Linked DNA regions of Xenopus tropicalis. The protein of the gene in region 5 purifies or fractionates together with the protein of the main gene of each other region. This does not show direct contact. Links are inferred from orthologs where the notes say so. Each region holds a gene or a part of one and is shown on either strand. Other genes may lie near its edges. The genes, in order: dcaf1, cul4a, ddb2, cul2, cops8 and cul4b.

Region 1 (5,548 bases), on a different chromosome or scaffold from region 5:
TATAGGTGTTTTTAAAGCTACACATAACATTTTTACGTTATGAAGGTGAAAATGTAATTCTAAGCTCTTCCGTGGGTGTTAAATGTACATTGGTTTTAAAGGTATTTGTAAATATAATTGCAACTGAAATCAGCATTTTCTGAAGTCCCTTCAAGGGATGCATTGAATCCACTATTTTCGTATTTGGCCGAACCCTGAATCCTTGGTTCAGAGTGGAATGTCCTGGTGTGAAGAGGCAGATGATTAGATAATGGCAGGTAAAGCTGGCCATATACAGCCTGATTAAAGACTGTGGCTGAAAATTGGACACATATGTATTGGGTATGTTAGAAAATCCCACTGGGTAAGAGGACCAGGCTGATGTGCAAATGAGGCACCATAGGCCTGCAGTATGATCAGATCATTGGCTTGGGAGAAAGACAATCTCATAAGCAAAATTTTGCTGACCAGTTGAGTACTTATGTTTAAATACTTCTCAGTAAGCTGTTCAGGATACCCGCTCTTCTAAGCTATTAAAAGACTTCCAGTGCCAACATGGCCAAATTAAATCTACCAATTAAAGGGGAACTAAAGACTGGTTAAAGAGAGAGCTCCCCTAAGCACATTTTGAGAAAACTCAGACTCCTTAAAGGAGAAGGAAAGGCAAAAACTAAGTAAGCTTTATCAGCAAGGTCTATGTAAATACAGCCATAAGCACTCACAGAAAAGCTGCACTGAGTCCTCTATCAAAAGAAACACAGGATTTCTTGTCTTCATTTGTGTATACATGTACTTTGGTATCTGACTTCCTCTCTCAGAAAAATTCATCATTCCTGGGAGTCTTCACAGCTCTCTCCCTTCTCCTGCTACCCAAGCAGCCAAACGGAGGGAGTTTCTAGGGCTCTTTACTCGGTACGGTAATGCTTTTTTCAGAATAAATATATTGTTATAGGTGGCACTAATGTGGTGAATGTATTGGCAGTAAAATGCCAAAATGACTTTCCTTCTCCTTTAAAGTAGCACTAAAGCCAAACTTAAGAAATAGGCTAGAAATGTTATGCATTTTTTTCACGGCAACCACAGCCCTTTAGTATGGAAGATCTGTGCCCCCAAAGATGCCCCCAGTAGCCCCCCCATCTTCTTTTCTGCCGATTCCCTGCACATGTTCTGTGCTGCTTTCATTTACTGAGCTTAGGGGCCCACTCACTATATACTGTATATATAGAATATAAATGATAAGTAATTCATTCAGATTCACATAACATGGAAGCTCTGAAACCAGTGCAATTAGCATCAGGATTTTATCATCAGCCCTGTAGCATCAGTTTATATGACAGGCCAGTCTCATTTTCTGCTTGATAATTTGTGACAACCCCTAATCTTGGCTTCTCAGAGGCCACTGAGCATGTGCACTATCCCAGACAGAATCCAAGATGGGGAGCTCCCGTGACAACTGTAAAGACCTGTATCATTACAACTATAGAGATGCTGAAAGTTTTAGCTAGTGCAGTCAGTTTATTATATAAAATGCATTTCTAGCCTTATTCATTTTTAGGGTTTAGTTGTCCTTTAAATGCTCCCTTTCTGGTCTTGCACCAGTGTTCTGATAGATGTTGCATATACTGTTCATCACACAAACTGCATCCTTGAGTTTTTTAGTTGTATATTATAGAGAGTATTGTGTCCCTGTCAAATCATTAATAGGCTCATCATACCAGCCCTTAGGGTAAGGCCCCACAGACAATCCGTCAGTAGGCTTGAAAACTATTCTAACTGTGCCTGCACCCAGAAGCACTGCATCTGCCTGTGTGACACAGACTGACAATCCAGCTCGTGGGTGCTCAGGGTGCATTAGCCCAAGGAAACCACACTGCCCCCCCCCCCTCCAAAGCAAAGTGGAGTGAAATGGCTGTTGAGTTTGAAAGAGTGCTGCGCTGTTCTCATACTGTTGCTGAGCTACAATCCTCATAAGCAGCTAAGCCCACAATAACTTTTGTTAAATTACAGCACCTGGCATCCCTAGAAGTCATTCAAAAACATAACTCATTCATTATAAAAGCCACAAGTTAAGGATTTCCCTTCTTCACCATTATTATTCGGAACCAGCAATATCAAAATGTATCCTTGCCATCTGCCCGACTACATTTTACCAACATGCCCCAGGGAGCTGCAGGTCACAACAGCAGATGGACATCCCCATCTACATATCTTCATACCTGGATTGTTTACCTTTCTAGCTTTTCCCAGCACCATTGCTTTTCATCTTACTGGCTTGTCTATTCAAAGCCCACCTATGCCCAGAGAAGGAACTAGAGATCAAGTGGCCCCCATGTAAATAAAAAAATGAATGGAGTTCATAGCTGCCCTGCCGATGAGTCTTCCATGGTTGACTCCGACTGTCAGGATCCCTTAGGTGGGATGCAAGTTACAGGTCACCAAATGCCAGAGGGCTTCTGGCTGCAGTACAGTGTAAGGTTCCTTAACCTATAAGTCAGAACAAAAATGGGATCCCCAAACTCAAAAATGGCCTTGTCACAATAGCAAAGAGTTAATAAATGGGATGTAAACCCAAATAGACAATGTTTCTTAAGGAAAGAAATTGCAATTCTAAGCAACAAATCATACAGACATTTAAATACTTCTATCAGTTGCCATAGAAACCTGCAACTGTCTGTTCCTTTTTGCGCTACTGTTAGCGATTGTTAAACCAATGTAGCAGAAGTTAGTTACAGAACATGTGTATGTAGCTGCTTACAGTGACAGTCTAACGTTCGAAACTCCCTTCTATACTTGGGCCTCCTGAGGGAAAAAGTTTCCCCACACAGGACCGGCCGTGCTGCCAGCCCCGTTAGCTGTCACTGTCACCACTTGGCGCCCGAGCAGTTCCCCGCACAGACCCGGCGGCTGCCGCTGCCCCACTCCTGCTGCACCTCAGCCCCCGCGTCAGGCCTCCCCTCTCTGATAAGGCATGTATCCGCCAAATATCCACTTACTTCTGTAACCGGTATGTCGGTTGTTCTCCCCGACTCTGTACCAGTCGGTGTCCCGAGTCCTTCTCACTCGCGTCCTGCACTCAGGGTCCCTTTCTTTGTCCTTCCGTGCCCGTCCCTCTCGGCCTCTCCCTCGTTTCGCTCCTTGCTTCCCTGCAGCGCTGTCCCCCACTCCGGCCCCTACGTTTCGCCTCCTGTCCCTGGCTCTCACGTTCTCCCCTCACTACAGCCGCTTGGGCGGCGCTCACTTTACACGTCACCACCTTGCGCGCTCGCTTTTCCCTCTTCTACAGAGCGGAGTGGCATTATGGGTAGTGTAGTTTACAAAGAAACTACGGCGGCCAGTTTAGGACGTTCTACGACGAGCAAAAACAGCGCCAACATATCTTATTAGCTCCACCCCCTCACGCCTCTCTCCAAGGTCTCCCCTTTATGACTTTCCCTTCGCTGGTTCGTCTCCCCAGCGCCCCCGCCCTCATACAGCTGTCACATTTTCTCTTTTTCTGCCTGTCAGGCTTTCTCATTGCCACAATACACCTCTTGTCTCTTCCTTCTACCGCACACGAACTTACTCCCTACTCCCTAAAATTTCAAACAACCCTTTGAGACTTGGGGTCACTATGGCATTAATTGTTGGGGCCACTGTATCAAAAAGCGATTGGTAGGGGCGTCTTTACTAATATTGGTACCACTGTGTCATCTCTTGTTGGGACTTAGTAGGCCTGGGCTGGCAATCTGTGGGTTCAGGCAAATGCCAGAGGGGCTGCTGTAAGGTGCCATAGACAGTCACTATTTATTGGGCTGGGGGGGGCTGTTTGGGTCTCTGTGTACATGAAATGCCGGGGGCTACTTTGGGGCTAATGCATAATATGCAGGGGCTTTTCAGTCCCTAGTGCAGCCCTGGGGAAGTCACCCTCCTCTTCACGCTGTTTTTTTTAGTTGGGGGGGCCGTATTGCTAGCGCAGAGAGCGCAATAGAACTCTGCACTAGATGAGACAGAATTTCTTCTTATCAGGGCCGCCGCTCCTTATAAGCAGAGTACTCAGTCTGCATAGGGCACCAACTCCCAGGGGGGCACCATCCCAGCTGTTCAAAAAAACATTTCTATATATTATAACATACCCCCCAACACTGTCCCGCCGGTTTTTATAGCGCATCCCGCTGTCCCAGATAGTTTAATCAATCTATGGGGGCACTTACTATGGGGGCATTGTCTATGGGGGCACTGTGTGTGGGGCCCCTATAGTAGGTGTTTTTTTTTATTATTTTATTTTTACTTCCGTAATATTTGGGGGAGGGGGCACAAAAGTACATTTCTGCTTAGTGACCCATTTGGCCAGCAGCGGCCCTGCTTCTTATAAATCAAATTTCCAGTAATTACCAGGAGGCTTATTGCCACCCCCCGCGTTTCACCTGAGGTGAGTTTTTCCACTCTGCTCAATGCAGTTGCACCCCTGATAGTATGTGATTGGGGCCACTGCTTTATGACTGCATAATATGTAATTGGGGTGAAATAGGGTTGCCACCTGGGGTCATTAAAGAAATGGTTCACTGTAAAAATGAAACTCGGTAAGTAGGCTTTGCAAAATAAAAAAATATTTTCAATATAGTTAACCAAAAATGTGCATGTATAAAGGCTGGAGTGAGCAGATGTCTAACATAGCCAGAACACTACTTTTCTTTGCTTTTAAATCTATCCTCCCTGATAAGGATCAAAAGTAAACTAAGTGAACAGTTATGTTCTATGTGGCCCTCCCAAAGACAGACAGGGCGATAAGTCACAGCCATTTTAAGAACAAGAACAATAGCAGTTTGTCCCACACCGCATATTTCCACGATCGGATTTTTTCAAAATTGCAGTGACTAATCTCCCGTCTGTCTTTGCCCTTAGCCATCTCCACTCTCCAAACTCCAGCCTTTATAGATAACATTTTTGCCCAACTATATTTGAAATATTTTTTTTATTTTACACAGCTATTTTACTAAGTTTTATGCTGAACCGTTCCTTTAAAAAAATTCCTCTTGGGTTCTGTGTGTAATCAAATGCATCAATGTCAGGAAGATCAAGCTGAAATGTTGTGTGGGGTAGATGTTAAAGAGCAAAACTGCTGGGCTCATCACTTGCTTAGTGCCCAGTAGACCCAGACCTGCAATCTGTGGGTTCTGGCAAATGCCAGAGGGGCTGCTGTAAGATGCCCTAGACAGTTACTATTTAGTGGGCTGGTGGTTAATTTGCTTTGTCATATGAGCTATGTTCAGTGATTTATTGGCTGTTTCCAGGGTCGGAATGGGCCTCCTGGGACACCGGGAAAAATCATGGTGGGCACCGGCGGCCCAGACCCGACCGTTCCTCCCCTGACATGTTAAATTTATGTGCGCTCAGGGGAGGTTGTCGGGGGGGGGGGCAGCAGTGGACCCTGCACCCCCCAGTCCTTACTAAAGACATTTATTTTGTTCTGACCATCCTAACTTTCTATAGGAGCTTAAAGCCCTCCAAAAAGGCAATTTGGAGTAATTTTGCCACTGCAAGCCTAATGTTAATAAGAGTTATACGGTGAGCACTTCTGCATTGACTGGCC
Region 2 (4,796 bases), on a different chromosome or scaffold from region 5:
GAGGGACGATAATGGAAGCCAGTTTGACCACTCCCCCTTTTAAAACCACACCCACTTAAAATCACACCCATGTTATCACATAGCTTTTAAGACTATACCCACATTAATGGTGATAGCGCAGCAAAACCCCAAATGGTTGGTGCTCACTGTAGGGATATCAGCCTTCATTCATATGTGAAAGAATTATATTATGCCATATTAAGACACAACCTTAAATTCTTATGCCTCCTCTTCCCCTGTGGATAGCACAGCAACCCCCAGCATATAATTACAAATTTTAGGGACCATATAATGACTATTTTTAAATGCTATCAAACTCCCAGAACAAACCCCTGCCAGGTTCACCTCCCACAGGCAGCATAGGGCAGGCAGAGTATGGCACACACAGGCAGGGTAGGGCAGACAGAGTATGGCACATAAGCAGCATAGGGCAGACAGAGTATGGGACACACGGACAGCATAGAGCAGGCAGAGTATGGCACATACTCTGTCTGCCCTACCCTGCCTATGTGTGCCATACTATCTCTGCCCTATGCTGCCTGTGTGTATGGCACACACAGACAGCATACACTGACACAATGCTTGCACTGCTCCTACAGTCTGTCTGAGGTGTGAACAGATGCAGGGGGTGAACAATGCAAGGATTAAAAGGTGTGAACAGTACAGGAGATTACATATTTAAACAATACAGGGGGATTACAGCCTGAATATGAGGTGTGAACCATGCAGGGGGCCATTTAATCTCAGTACTGATACCATTTAAAGCTTCCACAAAGGTAAATCATCAAAGCAGCTAGACAGGTGGGGGGGCAACACAGAGGGGGCCAGTTGGACAGCCCTGAGATAGATCTTATAAGAGATACTTACAGTTTCTTTCATTTGTATTTGGTTGATTTTAATTCTGTATAGTTTGTGCTTGAAGTCGGCATTAAAGCAAAACCTGTCTCCATCCTCCACATCTTTGCTCTTTGGTGATTTATTTAAAACTCTGGCTTTACCACATGCAAGGGACTGCAGCGTTCGTCTCAGTTCATTATCCTCTGGTTAGGACAAGACAGAGCATTGTAATTAATAATTGTATTTAAAATTATGAAAGTCTGGGTTCTTTTCTCCTAAAGAGTGGTAAATAAACTATACATTCTAATTTGTGAGTACCATCCAGATTAGCAAGATACACTATGTTTCTGTGTTACATTTATGCTCCCAGACCACCTGATGATTGCAAAGTAAGAATAGTCAAGGCACAGCATAAAAGTGAAAATGTATGATCTTGTGTGGTCATATTTTAAAGATATTGTGTACATGAAAGGGACATTACTTTGTTAATGGCTATATACGAGAAGTGTAAAAAAAGGGCATGACAGTGAAGTTAAAAGAAATATCTGAACTTTTATCTGTGACTTTTAAAGAGAGGGTGGAAGAACTATTTTCTCACCTCTTCTTACAGTTTTGCTCAGAAGCAGAACTTTAAGTAGAAGTGAGAAAATTGTTTTTCCACCCTCTTCCCCCTTAATTTATATACTGCTTCAGAAATTGTTATTACTGCTATTGCTACTATCATGCCCTCATCTGCAGCCCCGTGTTTTGTGATTTAGCTTGATTCTGCCCTATCTTTTTCAATTCACATTCCAGAAAACTAAATTAGATATGGCAGCAGACATGCTAAATGTGCGGATTACAACATCCATATATTTTGACGTGGGAATATAGGTAGGACAAGGCAAAGGATTTGTGTGCCTACTCTACCTGCTTTTGACACTTTCACTTTAAACAAGGAGAACATACTTTTTTTTTTTTTTTTTTTTTTTTAACATATTGTTAAATTCCCTAGCTTCTCAGCCCTAAAATTGATCACAGTATCATGATGCCACCACAAACAGCAGACTGAGTCCTTCTATAGTTGGTACCAACTAGAAACAGGGTCGGACTGGGCCCCGGCTCTAGTGGGCCCCGGCAGCCCAGACCCGACCCTTGCTGCGCTCCCTCTGCCCGACAGCTCCTCCCGATGCGTTAAATTACGCGTGCTCGGGGGCGGACGTCGGGTGGGGGGCGCTGCGGGGGGGGGAGACTTAGGGGACGCGGCCGGCGGGGACACCTGCAGGGCCACTGGGGCGGGAGCACAGTGGGCCCTTCACCCCCCAGTCCGACCCTGACTAGAAATAGAAGGTGGGCCCAGGTTATGGTTAAACATACATCATGAAGCAAAAACTGGAGGGCAGCTCTCAAGCCCCCCATCCCCAACAGTTCTGGAGGCTTTGCAGTCTCTTATATGCCAGAGGGAGGCGATTATTATTAAGTATACAAATACTGATCTCTGTCAAAGTTCTCACCAATTCCAGTTGTTATTTTAATTTCTTCAAAGCCAAATTCATCTCCCTTATTAAACAAGAGAAGCACCAAGGTCTGAAAGAGAGACACTTGCAGTTCTTTTTTCTCCTAAAAGTAATTTAAAAACAAAAGTGTCAAGATTTGGAAGGAAGGGAAATGTTTAGCACATTTATGCTGAAATATATTTTTATTGCAAAGCTGTTGAAAAAGGAAGTTATCTGTGGCCCATGCTGTATTACAGTGGTTTACAGGCTTTATTGGTTTGGGACAACCACCTAGACCCAACACTGGATAAGGACTTAGCCCATGCAAGGTTATGGAAATGTCAATACGGCTGTATCAATAGACAATAGTGGTCACCCAAAATCTCGTCCAAGTGGACCTTCTAACTGTGCTTCTTAAGGCAGGTGGCACACATTGTGGATTGTTGGCTTTCCTCCACAGCTGGTTTTTATAAAGGCAGAGAAAAGCAGATCCGCTCTCATTCGCACACCCCCATAGCTCTAATACCAGGCCCAGTATCAGCCTGCCTGGAGCTACAAAGAACGGATATCAGAGTAAAAATACATACGTTTGTGTTTTTATGCCAATATGCGATCTGTGTAGCTCCACACAGGCCAATGCCAGGCCTGTCAGTGGAGCTATGGGGTTGTGTACATAAGAGCGAATTCGCTTTTCTCCACCTCTATAAAAGCACCTGTGGCTGGGATCCTACATTGCAAAGCTGACGACTGGCTAGGATCCTACAGCACAGCCTGGGGAAGCAGGTGACTGGAACAAGCTAGGTTTTTGGAAACATTTCAGTAAAGCAGTAGGAAAAGCAACTTTTAAAGGCACGGTACATGGTAAATAGTTGGTCTTGATGTTCTGTGCTTTCTCTTTCAACAGTACTCAATAGTGAGTACTCTCTATGACCAAAATTCCAAATAATTTTAGAGAACTTACTTCTTTAAAATCTGCTTTCAGAACTGCATGCCCAAGTGTTGACTGCCACTGTAGTCTTCTGCCACTATGTTTTCCTAAATAAAATGTTTTAAATATTTCCTGAAGTTTCACCATCTGAAAATTGAGAAGATACTTGTATAAAACAATGCAAAAGAAAATAAATAATCACCAGAGAAATAAATGAAACACCACAAGGTGGCAAGATCATAGATACAACAAGCTGCACTCTATCAGGTGATAAATGCCAACATAAATATTGTTTGAATGTCTGGATATATTTGACACCTAGTATGTGCAGTTTAGATTAGAGACCACTCTGCAGTTCAATATAAAAGCTGTCTGTCTGTCCAAATTTTCATTATAAGTTGTTCTTGATGGGTGGTCAGAAGTGGCAGATGAGGATCAAAACATTTGGCTTGTCAGCTGAACAGGCAGAACAGTGCTTTTTCACTTCCCACATGAACAGGGCTGTGGAGTCGGTAGATAAATTCTCCGACTCCAACTCCTCAGTTTCTGATACTTCGACTCAGACTCCGACTCCTCTGTTTTTAATATGCTAATGTATTTATACATTCATACAGTCAATGAAAAGCATGCTTCATGGTCACTCAATGTGTTCGTTTATGCACTGCGTGCATTGGGCTTTATTCTTATAGCAGAGAAGTAATTAATTATGAATTGGGACATTTAAACTCGCTTTATTTATTTTTTTTATTCCCATTTAAATTTAGTAGGAGTCGGAGTCGGTTAATTTTTTGCCGACTCCGACTCCAAGTCCCCAAAATTGCCTCCGACTCCGACTCCACAGCCCTGCACATGAATATCCAACTGTTTGGCCTATGGGCTGATCCACTGGTTAAGAATAAGGGGGCCCATTCATTAAAGCACTATTTTTTTTTTTATCAGAAAAAATCATATTTTTTCAAATTTATAGAACTTTTCACAATAACCACGATAATAGTGTCAAAATGACATGACTTTTTCGTGATTTACTTTAACTTCCACGAAAAAGTCGTATTTTTTCGCAAAGACTACGACCGTATCTGAATTCATTCAAGCTTTGGTGTCGTGACTATCTTTTGGCCAGGTTGGAGCTGTAGAGTGCTATTGAGTCCAACGGAAGGCTTCCAAAATCACGCATTGAAGTTTTAAAGCCAGAAAGGTTTTTGCACCGTTTACAATCATTCAGATCCGAAAATTTTGTGACTTTCAGATCGCAACCATGATATTTTTGTACGACCCAGAAAATAATTTTTCCAATCGTGCTTTTAAGTAGTGAAAATTTGTGCTTTAATGAATGGGTCCCTAAAACTGGACTATGCATGACCACCATTTTTACTCTGGATTAACTTCCCTGAATTAAATGGGAACAACTGTTAAAAAATAAAAGTTCAACGTAAGCTCCATCACATGGAAATAAGAAAACTTTCTACATTAGTATTTAACATTTCTAAAATAATCATGTTTCGCTTTAGCAATGTCTCTGTAAATTAAGGTGTCAAAGTCAAATTTCAATTGACAGT
Region 3 (4,032 bases), on a different chromosome or scaffold from region 5:
GCCAGAAGCCAGAAGATCTCCCATTGGATTAAATTTGTTGAGCTAGAAAGATAAATAGAAACCAGGTTAACAACTCACTTGAGGCCAAAGCTGCATGGGTGCAATGGGGTTATTAGAGGGGTTTGAGCAGGAATGTTTACCCCTAGAGGCAGGGCCAGACTTAGGAAAGAATGGAACCTATGGCAATGTAGGAAGGCTGAGATCACCTGGTGCAGAGATTACGAAACTCAAAGAGGTCTAACCTAGAACCTTCCAGTTAAATAAGCGGAGCATGGTGGCCTGGGGGGAAATGCGTGTGTCACATGAACATTCACACAGACCGAATGTAGGCAATGTTCTTCTGATGTACTTCCCACACTGCCAGGTTCCCCTATCAATCAGGGCTTTCTAAGAGACCTCTAAAGGTAAAGAAGTGGACACTTTCCATGAAGAGCCCAATATGGAAGAAGTGGGACCCTTACCGAAACAATACCAGAAGCATAAGGGTCATACAGCTGGCATACAATATTCCCTTTCTGTCCATCAAACACATCTACCGTCCGAAGCTCATCTGACATATAGCCTGGAAAGAGCGGGTCTGGGTATCGGCCAACAACTATTAAATCATAGCGAGGATGCCACGTGGCCTGAAATTTAAAAAAAAAAAAAAATACATTAAAGGCAAGTAAAGGACTACCTGATTCTGAGCAACTTGGCAAACAGAAAGGGCAGGCACCCGTAAACCCACACCAGGTTATTAGAACAAAATGTCTGTTTACTGCAGGAACATGCAAAGAGACTCCTTCAGGGTACTTTTTGTATCATGTATGAAGAAGGATAAATGTACCCCCTACTGTAAATGACAAGGATATTAGAAGTCATTGAGGGGGTTCTGTGCCCATATAAAGGCACAAGGCTGCAGGCTGAGTTATACAGGGAACTCTGAGTATCACTCATGTATTATAAGGGATAATGTACCCCCTACTGTAAATGATAAGGATATTAGCAGTCACTGAGGGGTTCTGTGCCCATATAAATGCACAAGGCTGCAGGCTGAGTTATACAGTGAACATGTACCCCCTACTGTAAATGATAAGGATATTAGCAGTCACTGAGGGGTTCTGTGCCCCCCATATAAAGGCACAAGGCTGCAGGCTGAGTTATACAGGGAACTCTGAGTACCACTCATGTATTATAAGGGATAATGTACCCCCTACTGTAAATGATAAGGATATTAGAAGTCACTGAGGGGTTCTGTGCCCATATAAAGGCACAAGGCTGCAGGCTGAGTTATACAGGGAACTCTGAGTATCACTCATGTATTATAAGGGATAATGTACCCCCTACTGTAAATGATAAGGATATTAGCAGTCACTGAGGGGCTCTGTGACCATATAAAGGCACAAGGCTGCAGGCTGAGTTATACAGTGAACATGTACCCCCTACTGTAAATTATAAGGATATTAGAAATAACTGAGGAGGAAGCATGTAAAGTGATTAGGCTACAAGCTATATGGAGCAAGACGAATATCCTTGGGGTACTGGCACTTGGGGATATTAGTCAACTGCGATAAATCTTCGCTATGCTTTGCCATTCCCCATAGTTTCCTTGCCAGGCAACTCTGGGTGACTTAAGAGAAACAAAGTGCCCTGTTTTTCCCACCTGTTTTTCCCACCTGCGGCCGACTAATCTCCCTGCGGGCCAGGATCCTTACATTTCACAGTACAACTGACATATTTAAGTGCTGTACTTTAGGATATTTTATAGATGAATGCTATATTTATATAGCTTTATATACCTTAATTGCAGTCAAATGTTGGAATTGCCGGTGTGGATGAGGTATTATGTGCTGCGGTTTGGCCCAATCACACGCAGAATAGACACGGATCTCACTGTGCTGATCGGTAGTGAGTAGCTTTGCCCCATCCCAGGGGCTAAAATAAGCTGCAATAGAGAGACCACCATGAGTCACAAATGGCCACGATTACCTGTCAGGATACCGGGTGTAGGGAACAGCGCTTACCAGAGTTGACGCCACGTGCATGAGGCAATGTGTACAGGTAGCTGGACTTGTCTTTGATATTGCGCAGGTCCCACAGCTTCACGGTCTGATCCACAGAAGCGGACGCCAGCAGCCAATCACAGCGAGGGTTAAACTCTACATGCGTCACTTTCTTTTTGTGAAGCCGTAACTTCCAGATCTGAGAATAAAGGTGCCAAGGGTCAGTCTCCCGTGCCAAGGGACCACTTTCATTCACCATGATCAGTATAGGGTTGGAATAAGGTCTCTGCCCCAAAGAGCTTACAATCTAAAAACAGGAAGTCCAGGGCTGGACAATACCCACCTCCTTCCCACAGGTCTCCAGGAGGACCACGTTGCCTACATTATCCCCCGTGACCACACACTGCCTTTCAGCGGAAACATCGAGGCTGCAGTACCACATCCTATGGAAGAACCAGTGGCAGTTAAACCAAAGGCCAAAAGCCCCAAAACTGCATGTAAGCACCCCTAGTTATATCCATGTGCCAGGTTTGGAATGGGCCATTAACAGATATAAAAAGAATATTTATTTTTGTGAAAATGATGATATTCCATGTTAAATGGGAAGTAAACAGTTTTACAGTGTATCCTGCTTCCTTTCTTTGGACTGGCGACTTAATTATCTATGCATACAGGATCAACCAGTCAGGAGCCTGTATACTAGATAATTATATGTGCCATACTGTGCATGAGGGGGGGGTTCAGCTCACCCTATCTGCAGCAGCTAGTAATCACATTTAAAAAGGGCAATGGCACATTATGCTCACCACTATTTCTAGCAAGGATCGTATTTTCTATATAGGAACCCAAGCCCCTTGGGTGGTAGCTTCAGAGGGAAAGCCCTTGGGTACCAGGACACTACAGCCAATTAAGCAATAATTCCGCCCCCACTGAGGGTCAGTACTCCCGCCTACCCCACAGAGCCATCTCGCTTACGCCCAGTCCTCAGTGTTGGTGAATGTCTGAATATTGCGCCCAGAGAAGTCCTGTAGCACGGTGCTACCCGCCACTGATGAGGTGTACAACTGATTAGGGTTAAACGGGTCGAACTTCATTCCGGTGATGCACCCCCCGGCTCCAATCTGCAAGGATAAAAACACAGCAAAGTTGTAGCCATGTGCGAGAGGGATCCAGCGGGGCGAGAAGAACTGGACTCACCCCAGGAATGAGGGTGTTATTGAGCTCTTCATAGTCCCACAGAATGATGTCTCCTCCTTTTGATCCCACCGCCACTGTATTCGGGTGCGTAGGGTGCCACTCAAGAGTGGTAACTCTGCGATCAAAGGGGCTGTTGGTCCGATATAATATGTATGAAGCCAGGGACCGGAGAAAAGGGGTTTGCAGGTACTGAAAAGAAATAGGTGAATGCATTAATAATTAAACCAACCTGAAGCTCCTCCATTTTTAGTCCTTGCAAAGAAAATATTTAATTAGCAGTATGCAAACCCTATTCCCTTCACCCTTTGTTATGATAGCTTTGTTAGCCAGGGAATTATCAATGCACTAATCTAATGATCTGCCTTGCAAGGACCAAACATGGAGCAGCTTCAATTTGCCACTGCCCTAAATATGAGGGGTGCAATTTAATATAAAGCGTATTGTGGGTTTAAGTTTGGAAATGTTTGCAGGCAATAAAATGCATTACAATCAAAGCCTAGGAAGGGACATTTTTGCTGCCAGCCAAGTTGGAAATGGAAGGGGTGGCAAGAGAGTGCTATTGCCCTTAAAAGCCACTTTGTGCATGGGTGTGTGCACCTTACCTTTGCCCGGACATTGCCCCCCAGAGTGCTGCGATACAGGTAGTGCACGATGCTTCTCTGCTTGTCTCCTTTGTTAGTGAGGTTTGTACCACAGTCGGACTCTGTGGGGGGGGGGGCAAGAAAGTTATTTAGTTAGAACATCGGGCACATGAAGCAGCCCCCCCCCATGCACAATAGGTTCAATAACAGGGTAATTACCTTTACTGCTGCATGGTACATCTGAGGCACACTGCTGCCCGCTTCTCTTCTTA
Region 4 (4,796 bases), on a different chromosome or scaffold from region 5:
GCTGCAATCGTTTTGGTAAAACTGACACGTTCCTATTGATTATCATAGGAATGTGTCAGTATTCCTTTTAGACTAATCATTAATTAATTCAGATTCTCATTACATGGCAGCTCTAAAACCAGTGCAATTAGCATTTAATAATCAACCCTGCTGCAATAGCTTCTACTTCAGGCAAATGTAATTTTCTGCTTTATGATTTGAGTTACACCACTGACCATTACTGTTACAGAGATTTGGAGCCATTATGATGCTGCAGGATGTTCAGTATACTTCATTTCTGACCATTATCGGTTTTAGGGTTTAGTTCTCCTTTCATGGGAAATTCTAGAATATTAAGTTTTGTTTTAGTTTGCCATCACTGATCATTATTTATTTTTATTTTTTAGGGATCGATGTGGGGAAGACCCAAATCAGAAAGTAATCCATGGGGTTATTAACTCCTTTGTTCATGTTGAACAGTATAAGAAAAAATTTCCCTTAAAGGTACCAGTGTCATTATAAAGATTTGGCCTTCTGTGTTGGATAGTTAAGATTTTGCTTGTGTTTTAAGGCAGCTTACATGATAGGATTTTGTACAAACAGATGACCGATTAAGGACAAATTATAAAATAATATAATTATTGTTAAACAGATGGGGAATTGGCAATTGTAGTTTTAAGATTGGTCTGACAATACATATAGGATCTTTTAAACAATACCACAATGATACCACACAGTGCTTTTATTGTGGGCGGATGAATCATGCAGTGGTTGTGCATGTGACTGGGTGAAAGTGAAGCTTTGGTATTGCCTGTGTAACTGTGTGGCTGTATGTGTGTAAGTGGAACTATATCTGGTGCCTCCACAATGATGCAATGTTGCTTGTGCTTGTATAAGTGAATGATATTTTCTGTGTGCCTAATGGGGCAGCTACATTTTGCTCTTGCCTGTGTAGATGTGTGCAATTGTGGCCATAAAGACGCTGCTTACACCGCCTATTGAAAACATTCTTGCGTTATCAACATACTGTGCTTTATTACAGTTTTATCAAGAAATATTTGAGTTGCCTTTTCTGGCTGAAACAGGGGAGTATTATAAACAAGAAGCTTCAAATTTATTACAAGAGTCAAACTGCTCACAATATATGGAAAAGGTAAAGAAAAGTAACAGCCTATGTATTTTTATTGTGGATTTATTAAAATGTATATTATGCTTTCTGTACAATTTATAGGAATTAGTAAGGTTTACCTTACAACTCTGGAACAAAACCATAACAGTAATGGGAGTTAAAACCAATGTAATATTTGGTCAGAGTATTCTTTTGCTCAGAAAACCATAGCAGCCAACCAGATGTTTATTATTATTCAAGCCACAGTATGAATGTAAAAGTTAATTGCTGTTTTGTTGTTATAATTTAATGGAGTGGGGCAAAATTAAAAAAATAATATACTGTTTACATGCACTGGCAAAAGTTGTATGCTTGTCTTAGAAGCACTACTATAGCTTATAATATAATAAAGCTGTGTAGCCATGTGGGCATCCATTCAAGTTGAAATAGGGCTAAATGGCCCTTTTATATTTTGCTGTTACAGGTATAGGACCTGTTATCCAGAATGCTCAGAACTTGGGATATCTTTATATGATTTGGACCTCTATATTTTAAGTCTGCTAAAAATTAGTTTAAACATTAAATAAATTCAATAGGATTGTTTTGCCCCCAATAAAGATTAATTATATCTTAGTTGGGATCAAGTACAGAGAAAAAGGAATTCAGTTTTAAAATTTTGAATTATTTAATTAAGATGGAATCTATAGGAGATGGCTTTTTCCGTAATTTGTACTAATTTGTAATGCATCCCATACCTGTACTGGTCCTTTAAGTACATTGGGCAGCCTTTTTTTTTGTGTGTAAAGGGGAAATTATGGAATATTTAAACTTCTATTAAGTGGAGTGGGAAAACTATAGGGGTTGGTCTTGATCCCAGGGGCAGCAAGTACAAGAGCGATATCAGTTTACAGGTGTCATTGTCCCATTATAACAGCTTTTTCTAAGGAGACTCAGATTAAGTTGCAGAACCCAAACATGAATTTTAAAGCAATCACGTACCTTGTTTTTAATACGTTTTTAAAGATTTCTTGCACATTATTATTTATTATTTACGTGCAGATTTTAGGTAGATTAAAAGATGAAGAGATTCGATGTCGAAAGTATTTACACCCCAGTTCATATAATAAAGTGATTCATGAATGCCAGCAGAGAATGGTGGCAGACCACTTGCAGTTTCTACACGCAGAATGTCACAATATCATCAGACAAGAAAGGAGAAGCGGTAAGCACTGAGCAGTTATTTTTTCTTTTGTTTTAGGTGAAACCATTTTCAGTTTCTCAGCCTTTTAGCCATCATCATAATATATGCTTTGGTTGAGAACTGTATTATCAAAGTGGCTTATTATGATGTTGCTAAGCTTAGGTCAGAAATGGAAAGTCTTTTATTCAGCAGGGGTAGTGTTGATAAGCTAATACTTCTCTTTTAAAGAACAGTAACTCCAAAAAAATTGTGTTTTAAAGTGATTATAATTAACTTTTGCCTTGCACTGGTATTTTTGCTTTAGAAACACTAATATAGTTTTTTTTATAAATAATCTCTGTAGCAATGAGGGAGGCTATTCAAAGGAAACAAAAGGCTCAGATTACATAGCAGATAAGTTCTGTAGAATATAATGGTGTTCTACAGGGCTCATCTTTTATCCGCTATTTAAATCTGTGCCATTTAACGCTATTTAATTTTTAGGTCCCTGTATCAAACAGCTGGGGTGCCCTAGTCCTAACGGGAAATTTTAAAATTTCCTGTAATTCTTTCAAACTTACCTTATTGTATTTACTTTACTCCTTGTGTCCTGCAGCCTCCTTGAATGGCAAGATATATTGTGCTCTATATTGAATGTTGAAAAGTGGGCTTTAATTTAAGGGGATTATAAATATTTTAGTATTTTAGTGTAACAATGCCACAGAGTAAAATTAGTTTAAAAAACTGTTTAAATGTTAACTCGTGATTGTTACAGTTATCACTTTGTGTCACATTATTTTCTGTGGCATTGCAGATATGGCCAACATGTACACTCTTCTCCGTGCTGTATCCAATGGTTTACCTCATATGATTCAGGAACTCCAAAACCATATCCACGATGAAGGCCTTAGAGCTATTAGTAATCTTTCTCAGGAAAACGTGAGTAACCATGAAGCCCTTGATAGCCGCATAAATACTAAATGAGCAGTAGGGATAAAATATGAAGGAGCAGAGCCACGGGCTATAGCCTGCACCAATTGTTTGCTGCTACTTGTACAGGCAGGCATAACGCCCTGTGTGCCATAGACCATAGATGCAGAGCTCCCTGAAAGAGGGAAAAGGAAGGAAACGAGGAAATTACTTCCCTGCCTGACATCTTTAAATCTGCCACACTCATCATTGGATCAGACAGTTGAAAGATATGAACATGTGGCCAAATTCCCCAAATTATCATTTTAAAAACTAATGCGAAACAAAGAGTTAATCTGGCCATATTATACCATAGTCCAAATAAAAAAAAAAGGGTTTGGATTTTAAAGGAATATATCTGTTTATGTACTTTATCTTTAAGTAGCAATAAGAATGAAAATGCCCAAGTACACAAAAGGCCAGCACCACAGAGTGCCACATGCTTCCTGACAAAGAAACTTAAAGAAAATGGCTAATTCATACCGATGAAACATGAAATGAAATGAATTATGGGGAAGTTTTATTTAATCTTTTACATGCCAGCTGGGTTTTATTTATTACATGGTATATTATTAAGACTATTTCCCATTAGAATGTGATTGCTCCAAACTGTGCACAATGAATGTTCCCTCTTTTTCAAATGGCCTTGGGTCAGTATGTCACTAAGTACAGGGAACACTAGCCAGTGCTAATCTCAGATCATTTGTAGTTGCCATTCATGAATTTTTGTATTTTTATAATTCATTTAAATGTTTTAAGTTTTTTTTTTCTTGTAGTTCTCTTTGTGTTTTTTTATAAATGTTCCCTTTTTATCTTTCAGATGCCAACTCAATTTGTGGAGTCAGTCTTAGAAGTTCACAGTAAATTTGTTCAGCTTGTCAACTCTGTATTGAATGGTGATCAGCACTTTATGAGTGCACTAGACAAGGTACAGTAATCAATAGGTCCTGATCATGACCCTATACCACCTTGCACAAACAAATACAGAAATATAATGGGGCTTAACATTTTTACATTTCAGACCCCCACCCCCTACTGTTTAAATGATTTCCCTGCTGTGTCACTACCAAGTCCCATGTCCATACCTACTATTTTAAATGCAAAGTTTCACACTGGTTTTAATAACTTCACATCCGGTGTCTTTCCCCCTGGTGGCAACCTCTGACAAAAGATTTAAAGGCTTTTAGCGCACATGATTTTGTTCAGAGGTGACCGTCAGGGTCTAACCCTGATGCAAGAGAGGTAAGAGTGGCTCTGAACTTACAAACAGTGGCAGTGATGTGGTTGGGGAGGGGGACCTGTGCAGGGCCCTAAACTGGTGGTGGGGTATTAGGGATGGTGTCAGACCAAGAGACCACAACATATAAATAGGATGTACAGGTATGGGATCTGTTATACACAGAAAGCTCCTATAGACTCCAATTTCAGGAAATAATTCTAATTTTAAAAAATGATTTCCCTTTTCTCTGTAATAATAAAGCAGAACCTTGTACTTGATCCCAACTAAGATATAATTAATCCTTATTGGAGGATAAAAATTCTGGTGGGTTTATTTAATGT
Region 5 (5,260 bases):
GAAGTGCATCAACCAGAGGCTGAAAGTTAGAGTTCACCATTTGATGATAAATATGCTACTCAAAATGTCAGAAGAATTAATAGAGAGTGGGAACATTTTACTGTGATGAATGTGCCCCTAAAAGTCAATATGCACTTTTCCTTTAAAAGGAGAAGTACATTAATTTTTCTCCATGTTGTATCCAGTGCTCTCCAGTAACCCATGCAAGCCTCTGAATCAAAACAGTCTCTACAGAAACTCAACAGAGCATTGGAGGAGTGAGAGAAGGATGTGGCATGGAAGGGTGCAGGAACACAGAATTGGGAAGCTTTGAAACACACAACAATATCCTGTAAGCAGCATCTTTAGTATGGGTGCCAGCAGATACATACTGATGAAATGACTCAAGAATTTCTTGCATTTTCTTTCAAGAATTTTCTTGAATCTGTAATAAAGCTTGGGATACCTACTTTAGAAAATTTTGTAAGGTAACATTGCTGACAGCAACAAATTTTTGTGATATTTTTAAGTTGTTTTTACAGCCGCCATCAATAATTAGAATTTTACCAATTTACTCCATATTAACCAATCAGAAGTTAATGTGCAAGGAGTCTGATTAGAGCACACCTAGCTGTTAAGGGGGTTATACCTCTTACAGCCTCCATGACTGGTTGGATGGCCTCAGACCACTGACATGCAGAGATGGATGTGTAGATCCCTGGAAAATCTCGCTGCCAGATCTTCTGTCCTACCTCCCAGATCCCACCAAGCTCAGAGTGGGCCTGTAGGGGAACCACAATTAAATGCATAAAGTACTTTTTTTTTTTAAAAGTGGAAACAATCCTATAAGATACATTGTTTAGCACTAGTCCTGGGGATGACCTTGAAATGATTTTTAAACCAGTGCCACTATCCTTTAAAAGTAAGCACAATTAAGTCTGGGGGAAGGAAAACATGCCCATTTCACAAAGATTCTCTGTAAACTCAAAACAGGACAATTTTAATTTTCCTTACCTTTACTCTATGCAAAACTGAGATCCTTATATTACAAAATGCAAAAGTATTTAAATTATTGGAATATTTTTGAATTTCAGGGATGTACACACTGGATACCATGTTAACAAAGAGCAAAGTGAAAATTAGCATATACACATCATGTCAGACAGTTTTAACATTATAACCTGCCAAAGGATTACTTAAAAAGCATTTATACCCTCAATTATTGTACTTCAGGAGCACCCAAAGAAATAAAAAAAGGTTTAGTAAAGAGGTGGGCCAGCTAAGGCTGCAATAAGCATTCAATGAGCCATGTATTCACAACCATTCAGAACCTAATAGGGTTTTGTAGTAGTAATAGTAGTAGTAGAAACTAAGCTAATACGCTCATAACAGCAAGTCACGTCAAGCAAATCACATGACATTACTTACGGATTTGATTGCTGGCGGAATTCTTTTCCATAAATAACGTGCATTATTCCTAATAAAGAGAAAAAGCACCAAAAATGTAAAAAGTATTTTAAATTATTTCATAATTAAAAACTGACACTTTTATTCATGAATATGTTCACATAGTTTTACAGGTGTACAAGCACTATTACGACTAGTTTGTTGCTTATTCCTTCTGTCACTTGGCCATATAATGGATCTTACATAAAAAAAAAAACAAAAAAAAACAAGATTACCGCATTTTAATGCAAATCTGGGTGTTTTACTCCACAATACTATACCCTCCCTTCCTAGGACTAGGAATAAACACATGATTCATGAAACACTCTGTAGAATAAAATGTAATTTAATAAAATTTGCCCAATACTGTTCTTATTGTGAAGATAAATACAATAAATACATTGTAGCCAAATAAAGCAGTACTAGGGAGAATATGATTTATGGTCAACCCCGTTCATTGATATCTGTCAACTAGATTAAACCTAGCAGATGGGGCTGGGAGAAGCAATAGTTACACATATACCTTTCAATAAACATAAATTGTATTAAATTAAATTTCTATTAGAAAGTACCTACTACCAGTGAGTACACATTTGCATGATCAGCATTCTCTTCCTATTGCTATGGACACTAAAGTCAATTTAAATATTGAGTGAGATTGCTTCACCATTTCAAACTTTACAACCAATGCATGGAACACTGACCAATCAAAGGACAAATTATACCAGTCAAAGATGCAATTCAATCAGCCCTATTAGAGGAGGCGTGACTAGCCAAAACCATGCGACACCTGTCAAACTGCCAGCCAATCAACTGGTAGCAAGCAAGGACACCTTTATATATAGGAACAATGGTCCAGTAATGTTTATTAATAATTTGTAGCTACACCTCCACCTCATGAATACTCCTGTAATGGCAATGCAGAAATCACATAATGTAAGGAAACGATTCCAAGGGGCTGCACACACAAAAGTATGCAGCACGTTGTACTGGTGGTAAAAAAAAGTTTGCTACTTTTGATGTCTGATGTCACGATCAGGAAAACATGACTTATTTATATAACGTGTAGTGTTTCCAAAGTAAACTATTTTTGCCATGCAGGGTAATACCTACAGCACATGGAGCTTAGCTTCACTGGGAATGAAATGACAGGGGACTTCATTATAATGACAAGCTGCAAGGGGACATTCAGCGACCCTTTTACTTTTTGGGCATTACTGCTCCTTTAAATTGTATTCAGCTGTATAAAGAGCCATTCAATGAACAGCTGGATACTATGCCAATGGGGCACAGAGGTCTATGGCCTTTAGGTTGTCAGGAATAGCCCTGAGGTGTCCATAGTAATTGTGTCAGGCAGAGAAGAGATAGAAAACAAGTGAAAGAAACAGGAGAAACTTACATGTCATTATGCAGCAAGTACAATGCCAAGAGCTGGCTGTACACCTGAGGGTTGGCAATGCCTCCTGGAGCCTGGAAGACACATCTCTGGGTTAGAAAGAAGGTGACGATGACAAAGATTCTAATAGAAAAGACAACATAGCATGGTTTCCTACTGAAGCGCCTTATAATGACACATCTCCCTATCCCACTGTCACACTCCGCCCCACGCCAGGCAGCTAGGAATAAAACCGAGTACCTCAAGCTCCTGTTCCTCGCACTGTTCCTGAAGCCTCTGAAAAGACACAGGATTTTGAGCCATCACGGCCACTGGCATCTTCTCCCAGGGCCCCCGGGACCTCTTAGGGTCGCTGCAAGTTCCCAGTGGCTAATGGCCGCAAGTGACGTCACGAACACGTGAAGACGCGGTGACGTCTCCAGCACGTAACGTTCGGCGCATTCTTCAAATGGCTGGATATATAGATTTTACGTGAGTGCGGTTCTCAGTGCTTACTTGGGGATTCCATGGAGGAGGAGTTCTCTATTAGAGTCTGGGTAGCATTATTTATTTATTGGGACAGGATTAAATGCAGGAGTTTATTAAGTTCTTGCCTGAATACTGGGGCACTTTCTGTTCAGTAAGGCTGTGGATCTATTACGAATTTGTTTGTCTCTGTAAGTGTCTTAATATTAGGGGGTTACTGGAGCCTGCTTATATGTGGAGGGTGGTTGTTGAATTTTTTTGTGTGACCTTGGGTTGATGTGCTGCACGATTTTGAGCTATGGAGAGGAGTTTTGGAGTGTGCTGATGTTTTTGTGGTAGATCATTTGGGGGGGGGGGGGGGGTGGCTGTTTTTTGTGGGGGGAAGGTTTGTGTGCTTAGTCTGTGTTTTTTGGGGGGGGGGGGGGGGGGTTGTTAATTTTCTTGGTGCTGTTTTGCTAGGGTGCATTTTTAAGGTTTTGTTTTTTTTACCCAGAACTTTGAGGGGAGATTGGGTTAGTCCTAGTGTGGGAGGAACAGTGTGTGATGAAATTAGATGAGCTGTACTAGGTTTATGTCTGTGGGGGGCATTTGACTCTAGAGCAGTGTGTAGGGAAACTAGACATATCTATCACATAGTGGGTTGTGGCAGCAGGTGAGGTCTCTAGTTATGGATGGGGTGGTTTGGAGGTGTGTAAGTAAGGCATTTTGTAGTGTTTGTGTCCCTAGTTGTATACCTGACTGTGGGAAAGTGAGGCAGCATGTGTCACCCCTAGGTATGTTTGTGCATTTAGGGCTCAGGTTAGGGACATTTAGAAGCCTATATCTTGTTTCAGAATTGGAATTACACAAAAATTCTACCATAATTTGAAAGTTTGGGTTGTCCTGAAAAAACCCAAAAACAATATATATTGTTTTCCTGGGTAAACTAAAAGTCCCCCAGAGGAAAGGCCCCTAAGTGAAACCATGCAAATGTTCAAAAACTGACTGGCAATACAAGTTCTGCTTTGACCAAAATGGCTGGCCATGAAAGGGTTAAAGAAGGAAAGCTGAAATCACTGGGGAGTTTCAAATGTTAAATAGTTACATAGTTACATAGGGTTGAAAAAAGACCATTGTCCATCAAGTTCAACCCATCCGAGTAAACCCAGCACACAACCTATACTAACCAATCTATACACTCACATACATAAACTATATATATACAACCAGTAATACTAACTGTAGATATTAGTATCACAATAGCCTTGGATATTCTGCTTGTTCAAAAACTCATCCAGGCCCCTCTTAAAGGCAAATAGTGATATAACTGATACCCTAGGCTGGAGCTCCTGTTAGCAGAAAACTGCACTAGCCCAGCCACACCATGGAGAGATCACCTAATTCCATTTGTGGAAGACATTTATATGTGGATGTGCATCCAGATGCATACACATATCAGGTCCTTGGAAAACCATGTGATTTCACAGTACTTAACTATAGAAAGCTCTCCTATGGCTGCTTTAGGGCTGTGACACATGGGGAGATTAGTCACTGCGCAACAAATCTCCCCAAAATGCCATCCCACCGGCGAGAATGTAAATCACCGGTGAGATGGCATACTCGGTGCCGCGATTTGCAGAAGTTGCCTTGAGAGGAAACTTCTGCGACTTCAGCAAATTGTGGAGCCGCGTATGCCATCCCATCGGCGATTTACATTATCGCTGGTGGGATGGCATTTTGGGGAGATTAGGAAATTTGTTGTGACTAACCTTCCCATCTGTCACAGCCCTTAGAAGTGAGGTCTTCTACTGGGCAAGAAGATAGCCAATAACACCTGAAGAACAGCTCATTGGCATATTGGTTCCTTTGTGTATGCAAATTAGGGCTCAGACTCTGCATAATCCTTTATGAACGATTCAGCCGAATCCTAAAAAAGGGGATTCCCAGAAGACATGCGCCAATCATCAGGAGAAGGTGAAGGGCTGAGGTCCAGCA
Region 6 (5,375 bases), on a different chromosome or scaffold from region 5:
GTTTTTTTTTAGCTGCAGTTGAAGTTAGAATTAGTTTCTGCTTCAGGCATCAACATTCCAAATATGTTAAAAAAAAAAAAAAAAAAAAAAAAAAAGGATGGATTAGTTTCATGGGCAAGCTCAGTCTCGATAACACCAAGTACTGTTTTATAGAGGATTATACACACAGGTACACTTTTGCTGGCTGATACTAGCTGTGATCTGCAGGTAATTATGTCCGCTCCAACTCACGTGGGTGCTACTAAATAATTCTTAGCAATTCACAGCTTGGCAAAAACACAACTGCAATGTTTTTAAGTGCTGAGTATAGCTGCAGGCATAATTAATAACTGGCTGTTATAGGCAGAATTTAAATAAAGCCAATGTCACAGCAGAGCCACCTGTGGTCCTAGTAAGTAGTGGAGATTGAGTAGGTTTCACCTGTTACTAGAACTCAGAGAGAAAGGGTTGTGTTGCAGATGATCCCACAGCATGTTACTTCTGACACCCTTAGCAAGCTAAACAGCTGCCTGTGTGTGTCCTAACATATCTGCCTTGCAGGTCATAGGGACAGTAGCCTCCCAAGGAATGAAGATGCTTCCTAGTCAGTTACAGAAGTGTCTCAATGGCATTGACAGGTGTACTTAATACATTTTTTTCCCATTACCCCAGAATAAAAAAACAACCACTCTATAAAAAGCCAGAAAAAAAAACGCAAGTATCCCTTGGTGCTGCAGAGGTTTGCCACTGCAAATACATAGACATACATAATACTCCTTTGTAAACAGTAAACAGTGTATTGTTGCTCTTTGTATCACCGTTTACCAATAAATGTGGCAATGCTCCTTTATACTGTATGAGCAGACAAGTTCTTTTGCCGAGAATTCCTTCATTTCTACTTCAAGCCTGTATATGAAACAGTACTACAATTTAGGTGTGCATTGTGTCTGTTTGATATAGGATTAGTTGTACTATTAGTATATCAGAAAAAATCACAAGCACTTAATACCAGTTGTACAAAAAAATGAAGAGGCTGGTAAGGTCTTTTGCCAAAACAGAGTAATTTTTTTTTTTTACATACAATTACTACTTTTTAAAGGCAAACTAACAGCACAATTTCCTGAGTTTCTACCTTATTTTAGCTGCATCAGCTAAACCTTTATATATAAATTTATTATGGGCATACCCAGGGCTGTATATTGGTCATGTGCCATCCTAGGCACCAGCCTAGTTTACCCCCCCCCCACTTAGCAACTGGTGCACATGCATTGCAGTTTGCATAATGCTCATGCACCAATAACTGATAGAAATTTCTTAGAAATTATTAAATTCCCCCACTTTGCACTAAGGCCTCTGGCACACGGGGAGATTAGTCGCCCGCGACAAATCTCCCTGTTCGCGGGCGACTAATCTCCCCGAAAATGTAAATCGCCAGTGGGATGGCATATGCGGCAGGGCAATTTCAGTGAAATCGCGGAAATTGCCTTGAGGAAACATCCGTGATTTCACTGAAATCGCGCCATCCCGATTTACATTTTCGCCGGTGGGATGGCATTTCGGGGAAATTAGTCGCCCGCGAACAGGGAGATTTGTCGCGGGCAACTAATCTCCCCATGTGCCAGAGCCCTAAAGAGATCAGGGCCAGAAGCCACATTGATACCACTAAACAATCTGTTTGCAAATGTCAACAAACACACTTCTGTGTGGGCCCAAAATGAACCAGCCTGACCTGATTCTGATTAGCCATGTTAGTAAATGGTGAATAGCCTCACAAATCTGTGTAAAGTGTTGCAGTTATCACCTTAACAGTTATTTAGCAGATTGTCTAAGGGCTCTGGCACATGGGGAAATTAGTCGCCCACAACAAAACTCCCTGTTCGCGGTCGACTAATCTCCCCAGATTGCCATCCCACCTGCGAAAATGTAAATCGCTGGCGGCGTGATTTCAGTGAAATTGCGCAAGTTGCCTCGAGAGGAAACCTGCGCGATTTCATTGAAATCGCGCCACCCCGTATGCCCGAGACACAGGTGGGATGGCATTTCAGGGAGATTAGTCGCGGGCGACTAATCTCCCCGTGTGCCAGAGCCCTAAGGGCAAGGATGCTTTCTGTTGATCTGAAACCATCCTACAAAAGCTCCCGTGTAGTTTAGTCCTGAATGTTGCTTCACTAACACCAGCATGATTTGTGTGTTGTGTGTAGACAAATGCCTAAAATAAACAGTGTTCACTTTCAAATTATTCTGGAAGTGGACATTGAAGAAAGATTTTCAGTGTTTTGGCACTGGTCCCATGAGATACTAAAAAAAAAAAAAAAAATGGCTTTGGCCAATGAGTCCCACAGGAATATTGACACTGCAGCTTAGATCGGTTGTGACAAAGATTTTTTTTTTAATAGAAAAGATTGCCTTTGCATTGAAGATATCCCTTAACTGTAGCGCTCTTAGTATTGACACACAGATCTGGTTGGGTCAAACAGGAATGCTTGTAACAAGCATCAAATCCCCTAAGTGCTCCAAAATATTGCGGATCCCTATAGAAAGAATCAAGCATTACCAGCTTAAAACACTTTGGCTTTATGCTGGTTAGGAGTGCATCAATACACAAGCCCTTAGAAGTCAAAACTGCCATTCCAGATAGATTCAACCATAATAAAATAACGCCAAAAGGAAACTGTAATTTTACCATCATGAAAAAACCAAACAGGCAAACGTTTGCCCCAAACTACTGGGTGACACAAGACAGCATGCTAGTTTCTGAATTCCAAATTAAAGGAGATTTTATTTTGACCAGAGCACCCTTGTAATCACCTGGTCCTTAAGCACATTCTGGTCAAAGTATTACACTCCCTGAAGTGACCTATCAAAGAGCTGATTGAATGGTGCCATCCCTCTTTACCTTTAAAGTTCTTGATGACTAACTTCTTGGCTGAGCCAGGCTTGCTGTTGGCAAAACTGGACACGGGTGAGGCTTTTGTGAGGCCATTGGCATGATGCCCAACGCCCACTGGGGAGATGAGCAGGTTTTTACTCCTCACTGCCTGGGGAGTAGAGGAGGATGAGCAGGAAGAAGAAGGAGACTCCTCGGCCATCTTCACATCGAGTCCTAGAAAGTCCAAAGTGTCTTCAAAACGCAGCTTCTTTTGGATGTGGTTAGAGGAGGAAGAGGAGTTTCTGGGGGGCGACAGGGGGTCCAAATCGTCCTTATCGCTGCTGCTGATATTCAACCTTCTCTTTTTGGAGGTGCTGTTTCCCTCAGTCCTTACCTCCTGCGCCGGGGGGTTGGGGGTTGATAAGCCTGTGGGAAACATGAAAACACCACAAATAGAAAAGATTCAAGGCAGCCCAGACTGTGTGTGACCGCTGGATCGTGTGGGGACCGCAACAAACAGCTAACGTGGCCCTTTGGTTAGCGCTTCCCAGTGGCCCCCTCGGCAGGCACTCTGCTTTAGTTCTGCTCGGTGAAGGCCCCGGCCCCGCTCTCCGGATATCCCCACTCTTTTTCTTGTTTATTGTCACAAGAGCAGGGAACCAAAGATGGCCTCACTTCCTCTCGCAGTGCATGTTGGGAAGAGTTCCCCAGGAGGCTGCCGTGAGCCCACACCCCTTCCCAGCCGGGACAGTCAGGGAGCCTTTGACGCCAGCTGCTGCCAAACTATCAAAACCAAAGGGGTAGCGCTTACTGCATTAACTATAGCGCGAAAGGCTGGCTGTGTTCCCTCTCTCCCCTCCCCTTTTTATTCTACTGTGATGTCATGGCAACCTTCGTACCTTGTTTTGACTGACCGGAAGGACTAGCGATGAGGTCTTTCATAATGCCCGACCGTGCGGGCCTCATCCGTCCCCTTTCTCCTCGCCGAGCTTCCGCCTTAGGTTGGTGCCGGCGAGGAGTCCCGACAAGGGGAAGGAAGGGGCTGAGGCTGGAAACTACTCGAGGGGGAGGAGTCGAGGGTTGAATATTCCCGCCTCTGTAGTGACGCCTAAAGGGAATAAGGACCAATAATCAGCTTGGTTTGGGTGACATTTCCCCCTGATGCCTCCACATGGTACCGCCTGTTCAGCAGCGTGGGGGCCGGAGAGGCTTAGAATAGTTACATAAAGGAGAGCGCCAGTAGTTGCGTGTGACGCTTCCCGCTTAAAATGAGTTCCTTGTGGAAGCTCCTCAGTAACTACTCAGTACTACTACTCAGTAAGCGTCAAACATGAAGTTTGTGTCTGAAAGCAATGTATAATGGCGTGTATAGCAGGGATGAAAAGTACATATATTAACCCCACTATTCATTTAAGTGCCAGATTAAAATAAACTTATATCATACAAAGTGGTCAATTTGGGTGATATAATAATCTCTGGGAGAGTAAGGCTTCCCATTGGATTACGCAGCTGTATACCAGATTCTGACTGAAAGCAATGGCTGAATGTGTTTTTTTTTTATAAAGCAGCTATTCTGGGTTCTCTATGTGCTTGTGAGCCTGCATACAAGTTATAACACCAGCAAAAACAACACATGTTAAGCACACCAAAAGGTGTATGCTCATACTTAGTTTCAGCACTTGACCCTATTCAATTGTTTTTTTTTTTTAACAGATATGCAAGCACTGGTCACTGCATAAAGCACTTATGAATCATCTGGTAAAGCTTAATAGAGATGTTACATATAACTAAATAACTAATTTGGGTTGACAAAAGCCCAAAGCCTATCAAGTTCAACATCTCTAAAAACCCCAGTGCACAAAAATACACATACCTATATAGACCAATCTATACACTTACAAATATAAACTATATATACCCAAATAATGTTGAAGCTAGGTGTTTGTAGAACTCACGGGCGTTGCTGCCATGAGGCGAGTTGAGAAACTCACATTAGGCTGTATTGCCTGGCAAGTTACTGGAGGCGGCAAAAAGCCCCTTCAGGTAACTTAAAGAGCCTTGTGTATACTTTAATGCTCATTGTAGATTGTAAGCTCTTTTGGGCAGGGCCCTCTTCACCTCTTGTATCCGTTATTGATTGCTTTATATGTTACTCTGTATGTCCAATGTATGAAACCCACTTATTGTACAGCGCTGCGGAATATGTTGGCGCTTTATAAATAAATGTTAATAATAATAATTTTGGCTACTGGTAGCTTATAGCCCTGCCTACTTCAAACTGGGCTACAAAATTTCACAAGAGCTAACACACAAGTATGCTGTATGAGAAGTTACCAATTGATATAGATGACAATAAGCTCTACATGGCAGGGACCCACTTCCCTACTGTGTCTTGTACCACATAGTACTTAATTGCTGGATATTTACAATAATGCTTGTTCTCCCTGGTTGTACTTTTCTGTATTGTAAAATTGTACGGCACTGCGTATCCTAGTATGGCTATATAAACTTATACGTATATGCCCCA

What was found.
Region 1: the proteins of cops8 (region 5) and dcaf1 purify together in Homo sapiens (affinity purification with mass spectrometry; 4 studies listed by BioGRID and IntAct, counting the BioPlex papers as one, with this or other methods). This does not show direct contact. The link is inferred for Xenopus tropicalis from reciprocal best matches to the Homo sapiens genes COPS8 and DCAF1.
Region 2: the proteins of cops8 (region 5) and cul4a purify together in Homo sapiens (affinity purification with mass spectrometry; 10 studies listed by BioGRID and IntAct, counting the BioPlex papers as one, with this or other methods). This does not show direct contact. The link is inferred for Xenopus tropicalis from reciprocal best matches to the Homo sapiens genes COPS8 and CUL4A.
Region 3: the proteins of cops8 (region 5) and ddb2 purify together in Homo sapiens (affinity purification with mass spectrometry; 6 studies listed by BioGRID and IntAct, counting the BioPlex papers as one, with this or other methods). This does not show direct contact. The link is inferred for Xenopus tropicalis from reciprocal best matches to the Homo sapiens genes COPS8 and DDB2.
Region 4: the proteins of cops8 (region 5) and cul2 purify together in Homo sapiens (affinity purification with mass spectrometry; 4 studies listed by BioGRID and IntAct, counting the BioPlex papers as one, with this or other methods). This does not show direct contact. The link is inferred for Xenopus tropicalis from reciprocal best matches to the Homo sapiens genes COPS8 and CUL2.
Region 6: the proteins of cops8 (region 5) and cul4b purify together in Homo sapiens (affinity purification with mass spectrometry; 7 studies listed by BioGRID and IntAct, counting the BioPlex papers as one, with this or other methods). This does not show direct contact. The link is inferred for Xenopus tropicalis from reciprocal best matches to the Homo sapiens genes COPS8 and CUL4B.

The regions. Positions count from the first base shown.
Region 1 is NC_030680.2:127,299,304-127,304,851, reverse strand, and holds the start of dcaf1 (DDB1- and CUL4-associated factor 1), read right to left. Parts: upstream 3,316-5,548; 5' UTR 2,973-3,315; intron 1-2,972. UniProt on the Homo sapiens protein: Acts both as a substrate recognition component of E3 ubiquitin-protein ligase complexes and as an atypical serine/threonine-protein kinase, playing key roles in various processes such as cell cycle, telomerase regulation and histone modification.
Region 2 is NC_030678.2:116,003,723-116,008,518, forward strand, and holds part of cul4a (cullin-4A), read right to left. Parts: intron 3,388-4,796; coding exon 3,274-3,387; intron 2,437-3,273; coding exon 2,331-2,436; intron 1,041-2,330; coding exon 868-1,040; intron 1-867. UniProt on the Homo sapiens protein: Core component of multiple cullin-RING-based E3 ubiquitin-protein ligase complexes which mediate the ubiquitination of target proteins. As a scaffold protein may contribute to catalysis through positioning of the substrate and the ubiquitin-conjugating enzyme.
Region 3 is NC_030680.2:15,447,432-15,451,463, reverse strand, and holds part of ddb2 (DNA damage-binding protein 2), read right to left. Parts: coding exon 3,980-4,032; intron 3,883-3,979; coding exon 3,782-3,882; intron 3,369-3,781; coding exon 3,180-3,368; intron 3,104-3,179; coding exon 2,958-3,103; intron 2,426-2,957; coding exon 2,326-2,425; intron 2,182-2,325; coding exon 2,004-2,181; intron 1,925-2,003; coding exon 1,779-1,924; intron 627-1,778; coding exon 462-626; intron 43-461; coding exon 1-42.
Region 4 is NC_030682.2:21,664,537-21,669,332, forward strand, and holds part of cul2 (cullin-2), read left to right. Parts: intron 1-386; coding exon 387-483; intron 484-1,021; coding exon 1,022-1,132; intron 1,133-2,146; coding exon 2,147-2,309; intron 2,310-3,081; coding exon 3,082-3,206; intron 3,207-4,056; coding exon 4,057-4,164; intron 4,165-4,796.
Region 5 is NC_030685.2:50,662,742-50,668,001, reverse strand, and holds the start of cops8 (COP9 signalosome complex subunit 8), read right to left. Parts: upstream 3,181-5,260; 5' UTR 3,140-3,180; coding exon 3,062-3,139; intron 2,896-3,061; coding exon 2,825-2,895; intron 1,457-2,824; coding exon 1,408-1,456; intron 762-1,407; coding exon 629-761; intron 1-628. UniProt on the Homo sapiens protein: Component of the COP9 signalosome complex (CSN), a complex involved in various cellular and developmental processes.
Region 6 is NC_030684.2:46,090,997-46,096,371, forward strand, and holds the start of cul4b (cullin-4B), read right to left. Parts: upstream 3,480-5,375; 5' UTR 3,288-3,479; coding exon 2,876-3,287; intron 1-2,875.